5 linked regions of the Macaca mulatta genome follow. The protein of the gene in region 1 interacts with the protein of each later gene in a pairwise test. Links are inferred from orthologs where the notes say so. Each region holds a gene or a part of one and is shown in the gene's direction. Other genes may lie near its edges.

Region 1 (2,603 bases):
TTAAGAAAAACCATGAAGAGGTGAGGAAAGCGGCAACGCCACTGAAGGACTCCGAGAGTAACGTACTTAACACTGACAGATGATCTGTTGATGTTTGTAAATCAAATTTGGGCAGATGTTGCTTAAGCTGGAATAAAACTACTCCAGGCAGGGCCAAGCGTGGTGGCTCATGCCTGTAATCCGAGCACTTTGGGAGGCCGAGGCAGGTAGATCACAAGGTCAGGAGTTCGAGACCAGCCTGGCCAATATGATGAAACCCCATCTCTACTAAAAATACAAAAATTAGCTGGGCATGGTGGCGGGTACCTGTAGTCCCAGCTACTCGGGAGGCTGAGGCAGGAGAATAGCTTGAACCCAGGAGGCGGAGGTTGCAGTGAGCCGAGATCTCGCCACTGCACTCCAACCTGGGCAACAGAGCAAGACTCCATCTCAAAAAACAAACAAACAAAAAAGCGGAAAAACTACTCGAGGCATTATTACTATTCAACCTGATCATTCCAGCGTGTCTCTGAATTAACATGTGAAATAGCCCCTAGACAGTGCCAGACAAAGGAACCAAACTCTTCTCCTGCCCTTGCCTTTGTGGAGGAGGTGAGTAACTTCACAAATGGCTTCCTTTGGAGGCTTTATGCCACCCCTAGCTCCAATCCACAGGGTATGAAAATCAGTCTGAGAAACAGACTATGAAGTCCGTTTCAAAAAAGGGATAAGGACTCATGCACTATCTGGACCAGTGTTTTTAAATATTCCGCATTTATAAACTTTTAAAAGTCATAAAATATAAAGTGATTAATACAGTGATAAAGCTAGAAAATGAAAAGCTGAATGATGTAACAAAGTACGTTTGCTCTTTGAATATTTGTTGATGACAATCATAGCTAACATTTATTGACACCTTACTATGTGTCATAATTAACTTTTATAAGTTAATTATGTGTAGATTAACTCTTCTAGATCTCACAATAACCTTCTGGAAAAATGTCCGATTATTATGTCCATTTTACAGACGAAGAAATTGAGGCCCTTCTAAGTGGTGAAAAGAGATTCAGCCCAGACAACCTGAATCAAAATCTCACACTTTTACCTACTACTCCACAAAACAGAAGTAGAATGCCATTGGATGTCAAATGGATTTTTCCCCATCATTCTGTGACATCTTTATGCCATCCCACTTTCAGGAAGTCAACTTGCTTCGTGGACAGCTTGGCGACCGCCTCAGTGTGGAGCTGGACACTGCCCCCACCCTTGACCTCAACAGGGTCCTGGATGAGATGCGCTGTCAGTATGAAACGGTGCTTGCCAACAATCGCAGAGAAGCCGAAGAATGGTTTGCTGTTCAGGTCAGCACCCAGATCGAAAAAATGGCAAGGTTACAGACTTCCGCCTTTTGTGAATTCTCTAATGGTGCCTGTGTTTCAGACAGAAGAGCTGAATCAGCAGCAACTGTCCAGTGCGGAGCAGCTGCAGGGCTGCCAGACGGAGATCTTGGAATTGAAACGCACAGCCAATGCTCTGGAAATTGAGCTCCAAGCACAGCAAAGCCTGGTGCGTGAGGCAAAGGCAGTGTCCGTTATGTCACTGATAAGTCAGGCTCTGAGATGTTAAGCCCTCTTCCATATCCAGGGATCACATTTCCTTGCCTTTCCCAAGTACTGCCGTTTACCCAGTATTAATAGAAGCAGAAGTGACAGGTCCACAGCTTGTGTTGTCCCTCTAAGATGCCTTACCTTCACTCCTGGGCTTGAGTCTGATGCTGCAGCAGCCTCCAGAGACAGGGAGGGAGAAGCAGAGCGAGAGAAACCTCCAGGCCATGGTCACTTAAGCATTCCAGCAGGTTTTAATTCTCATTTGATTCAGGCCAGTTTTCCAGGCTCACTGTTATATCTAAAACAAAGAATCATTTTCAAACATTTCATCCTACAGTTTCCCTACAGGATCTACACTTCAACCTGATCCTTCACTGTACCCCACCCCACTCAAGCAACAAGAACACCATGCGTCCAAGATGACATGAACCAGTTCTGGTCAAGCACCACTGTGTGCATGTCATTAGATCCTGCGGAGAATACCTAGGAGAACAATAGCTGAGCATTCATCCAGTGAGAGGCACTATGCTCATTTAAGCCTCACAGTAACTTCACGGGATAGATACCTTTATCCCATGACACAGATAAGGAAAACTGAGACTCAGATTAAGTAACCTGCAAAGGATGCAATTCTAAGAGGCAAACTTGGAAGCTGAGTTCAGCCAGTTGAATCCCAGAGCCTCTTCTCTCTCTCTTTTTAAATTTATTTTTATTGATATACAATATTTGTAAATATTTATGGAGTAGATGTGCTATTTTGTAACATGCATAGAATGTGTAACGATCAAGTCAGGATATTTACAGCATCCATCACCTCAAGTATTTATCATTTCTACGTGTTGGGAGCATTTCAAGCCCACTCTTCTAGCTATTTTGAAATGCACAGTGTATTGTTGTTAACTGTAGTCACCCTTCTCTGCTGTCCAACATGAAAACGTATTCCTTCTGTCTAGCTGTATGTTTGCACCCATTAACCAACCTCTCTTCATCCCCTTACCACACACATGCCCTTCCCAG
Region 2 (4,111 bases), on another chromosome or scaffold:
AGCCCCATCCCAGTTTATGCCCCTGCTATCTCCACCCAGGATCCACCAGAAGATATGAAACAGGACCGGGACATTCAGGTGAGTTGGTGGCTAGGGCTTGAGATGGGGAAGTGGGGAGGGGGACATCTGCAGGCACGGAAGGATGTCCATTAGGGCAGGAGGGGAGATATTCACTGGGGCAGGAGGAGGACTTGTCTGTAGGGAGAGGAGGGCTGATGCTTATGCTAGTGCAGAAGGGGTGACCCCCCTCCACCTCATCCCCACCTGCCCCATTCCACAGGCAGTGGCGACCTCCCTCCTGCCGCTGACAGAAGCCAACCTACGCATGTTTCAACGTGCCCAGGACGACCTTATCCCTGCTGTGGACCGGCAGTTTGCCTGCTCCTCCTGCGACCACGTCTGGTGGCGCCGCGTGCCCCAGAGGAAGGAGGTAGTGACCCACAACTTAACCTTGACTGTCCCGAACTCCACTCCTGACTCCCATCCTCAGTGACTGTACCTCTGACCTAAGGATTTCCATCACTGACCTCCAAACTCAGAGCTCAGCCTTCATCTTGATCCCAACCCCTGACCTTAAATGTGAGAAGTCCAATACCTCCTTACCCCAGAGCCTGACCCTTGACCCCACAATTGAACAGCTACTACAGAAATCAAACCTGGCCAGGCGCAGTGGCTCATGGCTGCAATCTCAGTGTTTTGGGAGGCTAAGTGGGGAGGACTGCTTGAACCTAGGAGTTTGAGACCAGCCTGGGTGACAGGGTGAGACCCTGGCTCCAAAAAAATTTTTGTTTTGAAGAGATGGGGTCTCGCCCTGTCGTCCAGGCTGGAGTACAGTGGCGGGATCATATCTCACTGCAGCCTCCACCTCCTGGGCTCAGATGATCCTCCCCACTCAGCCTCCCAAGTAACTGAGACTACAGGCCTGCGCCACCACACTTGGCTAATTTTTGTATTTTGTGTGTGTGTGTGGAGATGGGGTTTTGCCATGTTGCCCAAGCTGGTCTCAAACTCCTGAGCTCAAGCAATCTACCGCCTCAGCCTCCCAAAGTGCTGGGATTACAGGCATGAGCCACTGCGTCTGGCAAAAAAATTTTTTTTAATTAGCTGGGAGTGGCGGTGTGTGCCTGTGGTCCCAACTACTCAGGAGGCTGAGGTGGGAGGATCGTTTGAGCCTAGGAGGTGGAGGCTGCAGTGAGTCATGATCACAACACTGTATTCCAGCCTGGATGACAGAGTGAGACTCTGTCTCTGAAAAAAGAAAGAAAGAAAGAAAAGAAACCAAATCTGACCTCAAAAACACAGCCCCAAATCTGGCCTCTGAATGTCCTGACCAGTAGTTCGCTTCTGGTCAATGCTTAATTAGTTCTTGCAAAAGAGGCAGGAAGCCAAGATGTGTAGTGTTTGCCAATTTCTGTGGTGTAAGTATTCCCACCATGGTCAATATGAGGCTACCCATGTGAAGTCACTGATTGAGTTGGGTTGCTCAAGCTGAGGCCAGCCACTGCAGCACACTTCTAGCCCTGACCCCAACCTCAGACACCTCTGACAATCCTTGGTCCCCTCTCTGCACGCCCCGCCCTACCACCACCAGGTATCCCGGTGCCGGAAATGCCGGAAGCGCTACGAGCCAGTGCCAGCTGACAAGATGTGGGGCCTGGCTGAGTTCCACTGCCCGAAGTGTCGGCACAACTTCCGGTGAGGGCGCTGACCCCCAGCTCCCCCTCAGCCCTGCCCCACCCCAGCCCTGCCCCTCCCTGCCCTGGCCCCACCCTGGCCCAGCCTCGCCCTCGGACCCTCACAGCCCTGCCCGCCCCCAGGGGCTGGGCACAGATGGGGTCCCCGTCCCCCTGCTACGGGTGCGGCTTCCCCGTGTATCCAACACGGATCCTCCCCCCGCGCTGGGACCGGGACCCGGATCGCCGCAGCACCCACACTCACTCCTGCTCGGCCGCCGACTGCTACAACCGGCGAGGTGAGGCTTTTCTCCTCCAACATCCTGGGCAGTCTTTGTCCCCTTCTGTGCCTTTAAGTCCCCAAATCTCCACTCAGTCCACTTCGTCTCCCACAGCAGCAGCCACTGCTTCTACGTGGCCTCCATGGCCCCCCAGTCTCCGTGGTCTTGCCCACGAGGCTCTGAGGTTTCACCCCAGTGGCCCATGCCTGAGGGTCTCCATGGCCTCTGCCCCCATGGTCTCTGGGTTTGGGGCCCCTGTTTTGTCCCCTGTAATCTCAGGTGACCCCCCATGTCCCCAGGTCTCCTGTATCTTCAACACCCCTGAATGTCCAGTTGTGCTGGTCCCCGTATATTGTGGCCTCAGCTCCTCCCTAGAGCCCCTCGTGGCCTCAGCCCCCTCCTGCCCAAACTCTCATGGGACCTGGAGTCCCATGTCTGCAGCACCTCTCCCTCCCTAGAGCCCCACGTGCCTGGGACATCCTGTGCTCACCCCAAGAGCCGGAAGCAGAACCACCTGCCCAAAGTGCTCCACCCCAGCAACCCTCACATTAGCAGTGGCTCCACTGTGGCCACCTGCTTGAGCCAGGGCGGCCTCCTGGAAGACCTGGACAACCTCATCCTGGAGGACCTGAAGGAGGAGGAGGAGGAAGAGGAAGAGGTGGAGGACGAGGAGGGCGGGCCCAGGGAGTGACCCCTGCCAGGTGCAGATACAAACCAGACACGGTCTGTGGCTACTTTGTGTTATTATAAGATATGAGCTCAAACCGAGATATGAATGACCTTGGGGAGCCATCTGGGGCCAAGATATTGACAGGGGGGGATTCCTGGGGCCCATTTTCAGCACCCAGGGTCACAGATCCACAGTGGGAGGTTCTGTGGGACACACTGGCACTGAGCCACAAAGAAGGTGTGGCCAGGACAACTTGAGTTCCTGCTGACCAATGTCCCCTGGGGCCTAGGGGACAGAGGAACAGAGAGTCACAGCTTCAGGGGCCGAATGAGCATGGCGGCCTTCCTGAGAGAGTATGCTCCACCACGAAACTCAGCCCAGTAGACACCATCCTGGTAGCGGCTTCGGTAGTGGCCGCCACGGTGCCACACACCGTTGAGGTTGGAGTGGGCACAGGCATGGTACCACCAGCCTCCCCGCTGGTACAGGGCACAGTTACCTGAGGGGAGAGAGAGAGTCCATGTCCTCTCACCAGAATAAAAGTCTCTACCTGCACCTCACAGTGCAAGGCTTTTGCCAGGTATCCCCTGGCCCCTCCCATTCTTATTTAATACAAGCCCTGATCTTCCATCTCCTCAGCAAAAAAATAGGAGCCCTGGCCCCCCAACTTTCTTCGGAGTAATAGCCTTAATTCCTTCCCTATCTCCTTACCAAAGTACGAGTCACACCTTTCCCACTTTTTCTGCAAATTAGGAGTCTACCACTCATTCCTTTATCAAAGAAAAGAAAATTACCTACTTCCTTTCTAGATAAGAGTACTAGCTCTCACCCTCTGCCCTTCACTTGAACAGGAGTCTTGATTCTTTTTTTGCCTCATCAGAGAAGGAATCTGGACTCCCCATACCCCCACCAGGATAAAAGTCCTGACCTTTGTTCTCTTGACAGAATAAAAGCTTGCTTATCCTACTACTTACCAGAGGGGCGTCTTACCTACCCTACCTCCTTTCATTCCCTCACCAGAACAGGAGTCCCACCTCCCCTATCCTCCCACCAGAATAAGAGTTCTCCTTACCAGAATAAGAGTCTCGGTCCCTATCCACGGTGCTGAAGGGCTTGTCGTTGTGCCAGGAAAGAGAGTCTCCAGCATCACCATGGTACTGGCCAAGCCGCAGGCGGTAGTGGTCGCTCTCAGGTTCCAGGGAGAAGCCATCATAGTGGGCACGTGCTCCACGGCCCCCCCAGTCTTCCAGGAGAACCAGCAGCTCATGGTCCCCACGGCTGGTCAGCTGATACACGGGTTCAAGGCCCAGCCAGTATTCTCCGTCTGGCCGCCCAAAGCCCGCCTGGCAGGGCAGGAAAGTCAGGAAGCCAGAACAGGCTCCCTCCCCTTCCCTGTCTCTGCCCACCTGTGCCCACCTTATAGTGCTGCCAGGTAGTGAAGAAGTTGACTGAACCATCTTGCCTCCGCTGGATCACAGTCCAGCCTC
Region 3 (3,519 bases), on another chromosome or scaffold:
CCACACTACTGCGGAAGGGCCTGCTTTGCAGCCACAGCCTGGTTTGAGCCCCAGCTCCAGCAGCCATGGGGCTGGAGGCGAATCCCTCACCTTCCCACAGTTTGGTGGGAACAACGACCCCTCGCTGCAGGACCATTCGGGTCAGTTGAGCTGACTTGTGCACATTGCTCCCAGCAGCATGGGCTCTCTGCCCTTTCCTGTGTTCTTGGAGACACTTGGGGCCTTGCCAGTAGTACAGTGTGGCCAATGGGCCAGAACATCCCCTGGGAGCCCTTTGGAAATGCAGAATCCCGGGCTCCACCCAGCCCTGCCCTGTCAGAATCTGCATTGTAGGAAGATCTGTTCCTGGTGACTCGTGTGCACATTCCCATGTGGGCCGTGCTGGTCCACGGCTCCCTGTGGTGCGCCTCTGTGTGTATTTCACCTGGTTCTGGAAGGCCCTGAGAATAGCTCTGAAGATGATCTTAGGTGGCTTTTAACCCAGGGAGCTGACAGTCCTCTGAAGCCGCCCAGGTATTGACAGGAGGGTGAGGTGGCTGTGGTCCGAGCTCAGCAGGAGCCGTCAGATCAGTTTCTGGTTGGGCCCCCACATTTCACACCTGGGCTCACCCCTCTGGCTGAGTGGACATCCTTTCACCCCCAGCCGGGACAGTTCTCAGCAAGGCCGTGGCTGAATGGCACCCATGAAGCTGAGAGGCACCCCTGCCCCTGCTTATAAAGCATCTGGGGAGGGCACATTGCCAGGCAGCAGGAGGGAGGCCAGCGCTCGTTTGACTGGGCCAGCGTCCCTTTCCTGGGGCCCTGTGCTGTGCTGGGGTGAGGCGGGAAGAGAGGATGCAGCCCCCGCCCTCCCTCCTAGAGCTCACCTCTGGGCAGACAAGCCAGGCGGCACAGACATGCTGTGAACAGGGATGTCCGGGGTGCAGTGCGTGGGCCTACAGAGGAAGAACCAGCCTTCTCTGGGGGCCCATTAGGGAAAAAGGAACAGGAAGCGCCCAGCACACACTGACCCTGGGCGGCAGGGGCTGGCTCCCGTGGCAGAAGGGAGCATCTGTGCCAGACATCTCACGTACATTGCCTTGGTGAGTTCATTCACAGGCCCCCATTACACAGGAGAGAAATATTGAGGTTTCTCTAGAAAGGTTTATTTCATGGGCCAAGGCTTGTGTTACCAAAGACAGGAAGGGCTGAAGCCAGAATTGGCCCTGGCTACTTGCCGCAGAGTCTGGCCAGGGGACCCTGGACCTCATCAGGGTCATGACGAGGTGTCGGCTTTGGAGGAGCAGGGCCAGTGTGTCCTGCTTTCTGCTCCTCGAATGAGCCTCACTCCCTCCCTGCTCAGGGCAACTCCTCACCCAGCCACTGGGACAGGTGCCCTGTGCCACCTGCCATCCCTGTGATTCTCTATGTCGGTGAGTGCTCCCTGGGGCCTGGGAGCATGTCCTTCTGGTGACTCCTGTGTCCCAGGTGTAGCTTGGACCAGGAGCTTGGTAGCCGACCATGGGCCAGGTAAACGGCTGGGAGTGGGGGTAGGGAAGGCTCTGAGGGTTGTGAGGGTTAGAGGGTCCCTCCATGAACCGGGATCTTCCAGGCAGCAGCCCCAGCCTCTGAATGCTCCTTAACTGTGACCACCGTGCAGTGGTTGCCACATCCAAGAAGAATGCGTGCGTGTCGCTGGTCTTCTCCTTCCTCTATAAGGTGGTGCAGGTGAGTCTCGCTCAGCGGGGCTGTGGGCTTGAGTGGCAGCTGTCTTGGCTCTGCTTGTGGATCTCCCCATACCCGGCCACCTTAGAGACAGCCGTGGCCTCCCTAGAGAGTGCTGGGGCTGGAACCCCAGGAAGTGGCAAAGGGGAGCCCCAAACCCCGCCACCATGCCTGTGGAATTCTGTAGCTCGTGTTGCTCCCTGACCCCGGGGAAGAAAGGAAAGTGAACAGGAAAAGGTGGGGCTGAGCAGTGGTGCCCTGACCCTGGAAGGGACAAGCAAGTCCCCCAGCCAGCTTTGGAAGGATATGGGGTGACCAGCTGATGGGGCTGGAATAACCAGCAGAGCTGCAGAGCTGAGCCAGCTTAGAATGTCCCAGGGGGCTCTCAAGGCACAGATGCCCGAGGCCCACCTTGGAGAGAGCTGACACGCCAGGCCCAGGCTGCCAGTGAGATGCAGACAGCAGCCAGGGCAAAGGTCCTGGGACAGGTGTGTGTGTGGTGCGGCCAGGGAGGCCGGCATGCCTTTGGCAGAGTATAAAGCTGAGGTCAGCTGGGAAGAGGGCAGGTTATACAGGAGTGTGGATTTTGTTCCACTTCTGATGAAAGGTGGTGGAGGGCTTTAAGCAGGAGACTGACGAGACATGGTTTGATCTAAAGCAGCCTCTCTGGCTGCTGAGCAGAAGGAGGACTTGAAGGCAGCCTGGAAGCCAGTGAGGAGGCTGCTGCTGGCTTCCTGGAGAGGATGAGCCTGGCCGGGGCGGGCTCTGGGGCTCAAGAAAGTGGGGAATAGGACCCAGGAGGCCTGTGCTGGGCCTGGGAAAGCTTTCATCCCTCACTGATGCCGCCTGTGCAGAATGTTGGGGAACAGGGGCAAGCCTGGGCGGTGAGGGCTTGGGGAAGGAGCTGAGGGTCATCTGGGAAGGCCCCGCGTGCAGGCCAAGGGCTGCTTCACTGGACCCGTGGTGCTGTCACAGGCAGGGCTGGGCCTGGCTATGACACCTGTGATTTCCAAGCAGGGGCCGGGCGATCACAGTCCTAAAGCGCATGGGGTCAGCAGATCAGAGGATGGGGGATGAGGGAAGGGGAAGGTCCTCACCCAAGGGTTGGGCAGTTCCTTTCTGCTTTAGTGACGCCCCTTCCTTCAGCATTCGTGCCTGCAAAAGTGCTTCTAACAGCCCCTCTTCTTTGGCGTCCCTTCCTTAACCTTCTGAGCTTTCCATTGAAATGGGGAAGATGGTAGCTCATCAGGTCCTCGCCTGAGTCACTCCAGACTCAGGAAGGGATGACAGTTACAGTTGCTCAGGAGGGGCTCCCTGCCTGGGGGTGTCTGGGCAGGGAAGAGAACGGGGACATCTGTAGCAGCTCCAGACTGGTCCCACCCCACAGCCAACCACTGCTGTCCTCCTGCCCCATTACCTGGGTCCAGGGCCTGTAGCACGCCACTGAGCCTGGGAAGTGGGCTGTTGGTAGGACTTAGTGGGCAAATGAATGTGTGCAAGCGTTCATTCATTCCTCATCTGTCTGCTCAACGATCTGCCTCTCGTCCCTCCCTCCCTCCCTCCCTCACCGCCACAGGTGTTTTCCGAGTACTTCAAGGAGCTGGAGGAGGAGAGCATCCGGGACAACTTTGTCATCATCTACGAGCTGCTGGATGAGCTCATGGACTTCGGCTACCCCCAGACCACCGACAGCAAGATCCTGCAGGAGTGAGTGGGCAAGGGTGGGGCCTGGGGCAAGGCCTGGGCAGTGTCATGATATTGATGTCATCAGGTGTGGAAACAGAAGGGGCAAATTTGTGTTTGTGTTGTCCCCCA
Region 4 (2,480 bases), on another chromosome or scaffold:
ACCCTCGCAGTGCCGAGCTTGGCGACGCAGGTATCGGCCGATGCTCAGAGGAGATGACACAGGGCTTCGGGAAGTGCAGGAATCAGGCAACAATGTCAGAATAACTCAGTGACTCCAGAGACGCAAGGCGCGAATCTGCAGAATGTATTTCCTGATTCGTGAACCCTGCCCCCAACACCTCTGCCCCCTTTGAATTCAGAGTGTGAGGGAGCTTCTAAAATTACATACTGTGCAGAAGGCAAGCCTGTGGCCTGGGAGTCAGGGACCAGGGGAAACGTGGGAAGGGAATGAAGGATGCTGCCACGGGGGTTGTGGTCGGGAAGGGTGTGGGCCAGACCCCAGGGACACTGAGCTGTTAAGGACCCACCTCCGACCACCTGCCAATGTTGACTTGTGATGCTTTTCAGGAAGAAAGAAAGGTCCCACCTCCAATACCAAAGAAGCCCCCCAAAGGGAAATTTCCCATCACAAGAGAAAAATCCCTGGACCTGCCCGACAGACAACGTCAGGAAGCCCGGAGACGACTCATGGCCGCCAAGCGAGCGGCGTCCTTCCGGCAGAATTCTGCCACCGAGCGCGCGGACAGCATCGAGATCTACATCCCCGAGGCCCAGACCCGGCTCTGAGGATGGAGGCCGGCCACCTTCCCCTTGGTTGTTCCTGCTTTTTCACAAAACGCTTGTACAGTTTGTTGCCTCCCTGGTGGTTTCTGTCATTTCTTCCACTGAACACGCCCTTGCTCTCATGCTCCTTGTACCGTGAACACAGTGGAATGCGGTCAGTGGCCTCAGAGTCCACGGAGCTCGTGGCGAGGACGACTTTTGTTTGTTTTTTTTTAACTGGTGGCCTGGCTCACACTCGGCTCTGAGGGACAGGCGTGGTGAGACCTGACTTCTCCTCCGTGTTCTCAGAGGACGGCGAGAAATGCCTCTGGAGCTGGAACCCAGCTTACATTTTGTTATTTCTATTTTTATAAATTGTGTGATAATTAGAGGTAAGAATAACAAATAACTATAAATGGGTGCATCTCACCACCCCCTAGAGGCATTAGACACCCAAGTGGAAGGTGCTACAACCTGAAGTGCAGGAAGAAAGGCCCATTCCCCTCGCACACCCGAGCTTTTGCTCCCTGAGCACAGGCAGCCCATCCACCCGCTCCGCTCTCCTGCTCCTGTTTGTCACAGGCAGAAAACATTAGGCTCCTTGTGTCCAGCTTACTGTGAGGGAAAGTTCTCTCTCCAGCCACCAAACTCCCCACCATACAGTTCTCCAGCATCCCAGGGGATGACAAATCTGAACCCACTAAAATACCCAGCACAGCATCTACACGTTGAAAAGATAAGCCGAGTGTTCCCACGAGGAGGTCACAGGCAGAGAGAGGAGAGTCTTACGGAGGGCTGGGAGCATAAAGGGGAAACAATGTCCTTACTTCTATGAAATAGTTATTGTATTTTTTATTTCTTTGTAACTTAAAATACGACACCCAGTATTTTCTTTAAGTTTCACCATTTACGCTACATGTGATTTTTTTAATGTATGTATATATATTCTCAAATTGTTCTATCAGCTGACTTTCCAGGGTATCCTTAAAAAAAAAAACCACGAAAAAAAAAAAACACAAAAAGTTTGCTTGTTTAAAATGACAATTGTGATGTTGTAAAAAGTTTCAGAAATATGAATGTGAGTGGTAAGTATATCTCAGTTTAAATGGTAAAGAAGAAATGTAGTTTACATTTGTATTTTTCCAGAATTATTTTGTCCAATGCAGTATTGCTTAAGTCAAGAATATATTCCTTGCCTGTGTTAGACCTGAAGGGAAAAAGAGGTCACATATTGTGATTTCCAGCTGTGGAATTCAAAAAAAAAAAAAAAATTAGTGTTCATGACTCTGTGGTCGGTGCCAGAGGAAAATAGGAACGACTAATAGGCTCTCCGTGTGTATCATTAAATTCAGCTGCCATGACCGTTGTTCCAACACGACTTGTTTCACAGTTCAGACCAGTCTTCGAAGGAAAAGCCTATCAGATTTTCCCACTGGGTTCCAGTTTCAGAGTCCTCGTTATTACTCAGAGTAAAAGCAGGACTGCGATGTAAGATGTTTCCACCCCAGTACCTGGTCTTCCTTCCCGGCTTAAGGAGTACCATGTACTTAGCCACAGGCAGAACCGCTTTCGAGGACGACCCATAGCACTTTGTTTCTTCACCTTGATTTGCACTTTACAGCGTCCCCGGCCCCTCTGCAGCCCGTGGCTGGCAGGGCGTTCGAGGCGCAGCTGTCCGGCAGAGCGCCCTCCAGAGCCGCGGGGTCTCCCTGCCTCATTCGCCACATCCCACGGAGCATGGGACCATTGGGAGCAGAGCTGATACTAAAGCATGTTTAGCTTCGAAGTTTTACTTTTTTAAAGCTGAGTAGTTAAGAATTCCCTGTAACAACAAAACCCTGTAAATTAAGCCTCGTATCTGGTATATATTTTACCAAA
Region 5 (4,279 bases), on another chromosome or scaffold:
GAGGAAGATTTTCTTGGCTTTGTGACAATGTGCCAAGGCTTGGAGCTTCCCCACCAGGCCCCTCAAAGGAAAAGGTTTCTCTTTCAAGTTTTGGTGGTTTACTCCAGACATTCTATTTGCTGTTCTGTGTGGGGTTCACTTGTTATTACAACTTCTTTTACCAAATTTCCAAGATTGTTGTCTTCAAGATCACCTACACTGGAGATCTGCTATCACTACCACTTGGTTTAGAAACTCTCCTTCTCCATATCAAAGCATCCCAATGCCAGGAACCCTCAAACTCTGACCTGTTTCTCCAATCCATCCTTTCTTGTCCCATGGCTATTGCCCTGGTTTACGTTTCCTTTTTGCCCACCCAGACTGCTGAACCAGCCTACTAATTGATCATGCACGCTGCTGCCAGGATGAACTTTCTAAAATCTAGATCCCATTGGGTTACTTTCCTGGTTTCAAGACTTTTCTTAACGCCTTGCTGTGATCTACACAGTGGATTTCAACTCTCATAAAAAAGGATTGAAATAGGAGAACCCCAAATTTTTTCAGTGAAGTGTTACAAGGAGCCCCAAGATATAAAACAGATAAAGTCTAAGCTGCCCTGGGTAAAGCAAGGACGGAGGCCTCAGAGCCTGCCCTAAAGTCCTCCAGCCCCGCCCCTCTGGGCCCAATGCAGCTCTGGGGGAATCCTGGAGCGCTTCTGGACACAGCTGGGATGCTGCAGCCCAGTGGGAGGACGTCTATGCTTCCTGGCTTGGCATAGCAGGCCCTACAGAATGTGCCCCAGCCCACCTTTCTGGCTTTATCACCTGCCACTTCACTCGCGCACACTCCCCATGCCCCTGCTACACAAATCACACATGACCCCAATGTGCCAGGCATTTGAGGCTCCACACTGCAGCCCAAGCAGCTTCCTCGGCCTGGTGTCTTCCTGCTCATCCCTGTCTCGACAATCCTAATTGTCCTTCCAGGTTTCACTCCAGTATCATCCGTATGGAGCCCTCTCTTATAAAAAATTCGGACAGAGCACACCCCCACTCTCCCCTGGGAATTCTGTTAAGGTGAACTATTTAACCACTTACAACATCTGCTACCTAGAACTGTTTCTCTTAGCAATATCATCTTTTTAATCCTGGCCCAGATTATCAATAAATTTGTGTGACATTACGCAGTGAAGACTCTGTCCTTTATTCCAGTGTCAGCAGAGGTGAGTGAGCCATACACAATTCCCTGAGGAATCCTGAGAATCTTCAGAGGAAGCAAGAAGTCAAAGAGCCCCAAACTGGAAATCTGAGCCCTTGGGTTCTCATTCTGGCTCCATCCCAAACTAAGTCTTTAAATTCAGCTCTACACTGCCATGGTTTTAGTGCTCTTGGCATAATGATAATGATTATTCTAATGGCTAATATTTATAAGGCAGCTACCACATGCAGACAGACACTGCTGTAAGCGTTTTTCATGGATTAACTCATTTTTGCTTTACAGAACAAAGGCTGAAGCATTTACTAGATTGAACCCTTTCTCCAGCTGCATTTGGGACTGAAAGAGACTTTACAGGGATGAGGAAACCAAGACATAGGTGAAATGACTTCTCAGGTGACTCAGCTGGTAGCAGAACTGGCTGGTGGCAGGTCTCCTGGTTTTCAGGTGGGTATACTTTCACCCACATAACACTGTTCTGTGGGAGTAGCCTGGGTATTGACCAGAGCCACACCTGTCCCTGCAAAATGTTTTACAAAGCTTCAACAGAGAGATATGACACTCAGCTATCAGCACAACTCAATACATGTAAAAATATTTCCTAACTTCAAAAGTTAAATGATTCCATTCAAATTTGGTTTACTTTTGAAATTACCATCTAGTAAGGGCTATATTCACATAAAATAATTTATTTAATGGGATACAAATGGTGCCAATAAAATCTAGGGTAGAAAACTTCTTATCCCCAGCTATAGACATGCTGGTGAGATCCTAATCAGGCAGAGTGGCTCCTTCCACTGTAGTTAAGGCTGCTACCACATGGCTTTAAGGACATGGTGTCCATGACCTTCTGCTGTATATCAGATCATAATTTTCCTAAAAGCATGGCTCAATTTATAGTGCATTCCCCAAGAGGCAGGCAGCACGCTATCATGGAAAGAGAAGTAAATCTGAAGTCAAAACTCCTGCCATTGACCAAGTGACTCTGGGGAAATCAGTTAATATGGCCAAGTCTTAGATTTGTCCAGTGGAAAATATTGTCAAGGCTATTGGTCCTTCCTAGCTGGGGTTGCTGTGATGCTTCAAGGAGACGTGAATGAAGAGGATTGGTGTGGGTAAATACTCATTTTTCTTCTTTAAGGAATGGTCATACTTGGAGAATGCTATCCAGAACTGTTTCCTCATTGCAACCCTGCCTTAGTCTCTTCTGGATGCTATTAACAAAATACCGCAGATTTGGTGGCATATAAATGAATGAAATTTATTTCTCACCATTTTGAAGGCTAAGAAGCCAAAGATCAAGACATCAGATTTGGTGTCTGGTGAGGATCATCTCCCTGGTTCAGAGATGGCCATCTTTTCACTGTGTCCTCACATGACAGAAGGGATGAGGGAGTTCTCTGGGACTCCTTTTATAAGGGCACTAATCCCACTGATGAGGGCTCCACCTGTATGACCTAATCACCTCCCAAAGGTCCCACCTCCTAATACCATCACCTTAAGGGTTAGAATTTTAACTTAAGAATTTGGGGGAAACACAAACCTTCAGACCATAGCAACCCCAGGGAAGGGAAGTGACTTAGCCAGGATCCACAGTATGATGTGAACATGACAGAGCTTGGAGTCACCCCTTTCTAGCACTCTATCCTTTACTTAAACTATTTTAAGATTACATTAATTGCATTATTTCCTTAAGCTAGAAATCTGCAGAAATATTTGTAAATTCATATATTACTTTAAGTCTTAACACTTTGTTTTTGAGACAAAGTCTCACTCTGTTGCCCAGACTGGGGTGCAGTGACATAATCATGGCTCACTGCAGCCTCAAATTCCTGGACTCAAGCAATCCTTCCACCTCAGCCTCCGGAATAGCTGGGACTACAAATGCACACACATGTTTAGCTAATTTTTAAAATGTTTATATAGAGGCAGAGTCTCTCTATGTTGCCCAGACTGGTCTAAGTCCTGGGCTCAAGGGATCCTCCTGCCTTGCCTTCCCCACATGCTAGGATTACAGGCATGAACCACCACCCAACCCAATTCTTAAAACTTTTAACTGACGCTTAGCATGGCACCAAAATGATATTTATTGAATGTATTCTGGTGCCAACCTCTGGATGCATCATTTCGTCTGATCCTCACAACAGTCCTGCAATGCTGGTAAGATGAGCCCGGCTTCCCACTCCATCTTGCTGGAACTGGAGGTCATGGAAACTTAAGGGATTTGCCCAAGAGCCCATGAGTGAAGAGTGGTAGAGGAGATTCAAATTCTTTTTCTCTACCAGATCCAGTGTTTTTCCCATTAGCCAAGGGTGCCTCAACAAGGAACAAGAATCCCACAAAATTCGAGGAAAAGGGGGAAAAATGTGATTTCAACATGGTGTTCACTGATGCTATTTCAGAAATGTGCACGCAGCATTCATATTTTGACAAAAGCAGTAATTACCATATTAGAAAATAGAGTCGTTGTCTTCCTTTTCTAAAAATCTTTAAAAGTTAACATTAAAGCATACTTTGGGCTTGCTAATTTAAAACGGCAAATGGATGGTGTCGCATATTAATGTGCGTCCACAGCCGCTCTATTTGACCATGTTGCAGAGGTACACACGTGCAGGACGGTGGTTCTGCAGCTGAGGTTATCTCCTCCCTGAAACTGCACCTTGGCCCTTCTCCCCACCCTTTTTATTCTGAGGGTGACGCCTTCACCCGGGCTCTCTTAAAATCCTGCTGTTTGTGTGCAAATGCGAGTTCAAATTTCTCCCTGAAACACTGGTGGGGGGACACTATGCACCCTCATCTTTAAATATCATCCTGATTTCCCACATATTCCCTCCTCCAACCTGCAACCCCTTTCTCCCCCACCCGACCCCCACCACCCCCATCTCCAGCCTCCTGTCCTTCCCATTCCAGGTGCTCCGAGTGCTAGCAAAACTGGGGTGGGCGGCGCCGGGCAAGGGCTGAAGACTGCGGGGACCCAGCTGCCAGGCGCATTGTGAAGTGGCCGGAGCGTCACAGGCGACCCCGACTTCGGGACCGGGGGGCGGGGCGGGTGTCTGCAGCGTCCTCTGGAGGTCTCAGACCCCTT

The links.
Region 2: the proteins of KRT40 (region 1) and SHFL interact in binary tests that used the Homo sapiens proteins (3 or more experiments, as listed by UniProt). The two-hybrid records come from large-scale screens. The link is inferred for Macaca mulatta from reciprocal best matches to the Homo sapiens genes KRT40 and SHFL.
Region 3: the proteins of KRT40 (region 1) and AP1M1 interact in binary tests that used the Homo sapiens proteins (3 or more experiments, as listed by UniProt). The two-hybrid records come from large-scale screens. The link is inferred for Macaca mulatta from reciprocal best matches to the Homo sapiens genes KRT40 and AP1M1.
Region 4: the proteins of KRT40 (region 1) and DLGAP2 interact in a two-hybrid assay, tested with the Homo sapiens proteins (2 studies listed by BioGRID). The link is inferred for Macaca mulatta from reciprocal best matches to the Homo sapiens genes KRT40 and DLGAP2.
Region 5: the proteins of KRT40 (region 1) and CCDC185 interact in binary tests that used the Homo sapiens proteins (3 or more experiments, as listed by UniProt). The two-hybrid records come from large-scale screens. The link is inferred for Macaca mulatta from reciprocal best matches to the Homo sapiens genes KRT40 and CCDC185.

Annotation. Positions count from the first base shown.
Region 1 is NC_133421.1:65,362,777-65,365,379, reverse strand, and holds part of KRT40 (keratin, type I cytoskeletal 40), read left to right. Parts: coding exon 1-20; intron 21-1,178; coding exon 1,179-1,340; intron 1,341-1,419; coding exon 1,420-1,545; intron 1,546-2,603. UniProt on the Homo sapiens protein: May play a role in late hair differentiation.
Region 2 is NC_133424.1:10,799,947-10,804,057, forward strand, and holds the end of SHFL (shiftless antiviral inhibitor of ribosomal frameshifting protein), read left to right. Parts: intron 1-39; coding exon 40-78; intron 79-280; coding exon 281-430; intron 431-1,591; coding exon 1,592-1,695; intron 1,696-1,801; coding exon of another isoform or gene 1,802-1,817; coding exon 1,818-1,972; intron 1,973-2,412; coding exon 2,413-2,645; 3' UTR 2,646-2,932; coding exon of another isoform or gene 2,933-3,123; 3' UTR 3,124-3,593; downstream 3,594-4,111. Other genes in the region: ANGPTL6 (angiopoietin-related protein 6), read right to left, coding at 2,933-3,123, 3,697-3,967, 4,041-4,111.
Region 3 is NC_133424.1:16,685,874-16,689,392, forward strand, and holds part of AP1M1 (AP-1 complex subunit mu-1), read left to right. Parts: intron 1-900; exon of another isoform or gene 901-1,412; intron 1,413-1,591; exon of another isoform or gene 1,592-1,611; coding exon of another isoform or gene 1,612-1,639; coding exon 1,640-1,707; intron 1,708-3,280; coding exon 3,281-3,411; intron 3,412-3,519. UniProt on the Homo sapiens protein: Subunit of clathrin-associated adaptor protein complex 1 that plays a role in protein sorting in the trans-Golgi network (TGN) and endosomes.
Region 4 is NC_133413.1:2,258,782-2,261,261, forward strand, and holds the end of DLGAP2 (disks large-associated protein 2), read left to right. Parts: intron 1-407; coding exon 408-626; 3' UTR 627-1,964; downstream 1,965-2,480.
Region 5 is NC_133406.1:81,268,363-81,272,641, forward strand, and holds the start of CCDC185 (coiled-coil domain-containing protein 185), read left to right. Parts: upstream 1-1,479; 5' UTR 1,480-1,641; intron 1,642-4,104; 5' UTR 4,105-4,279.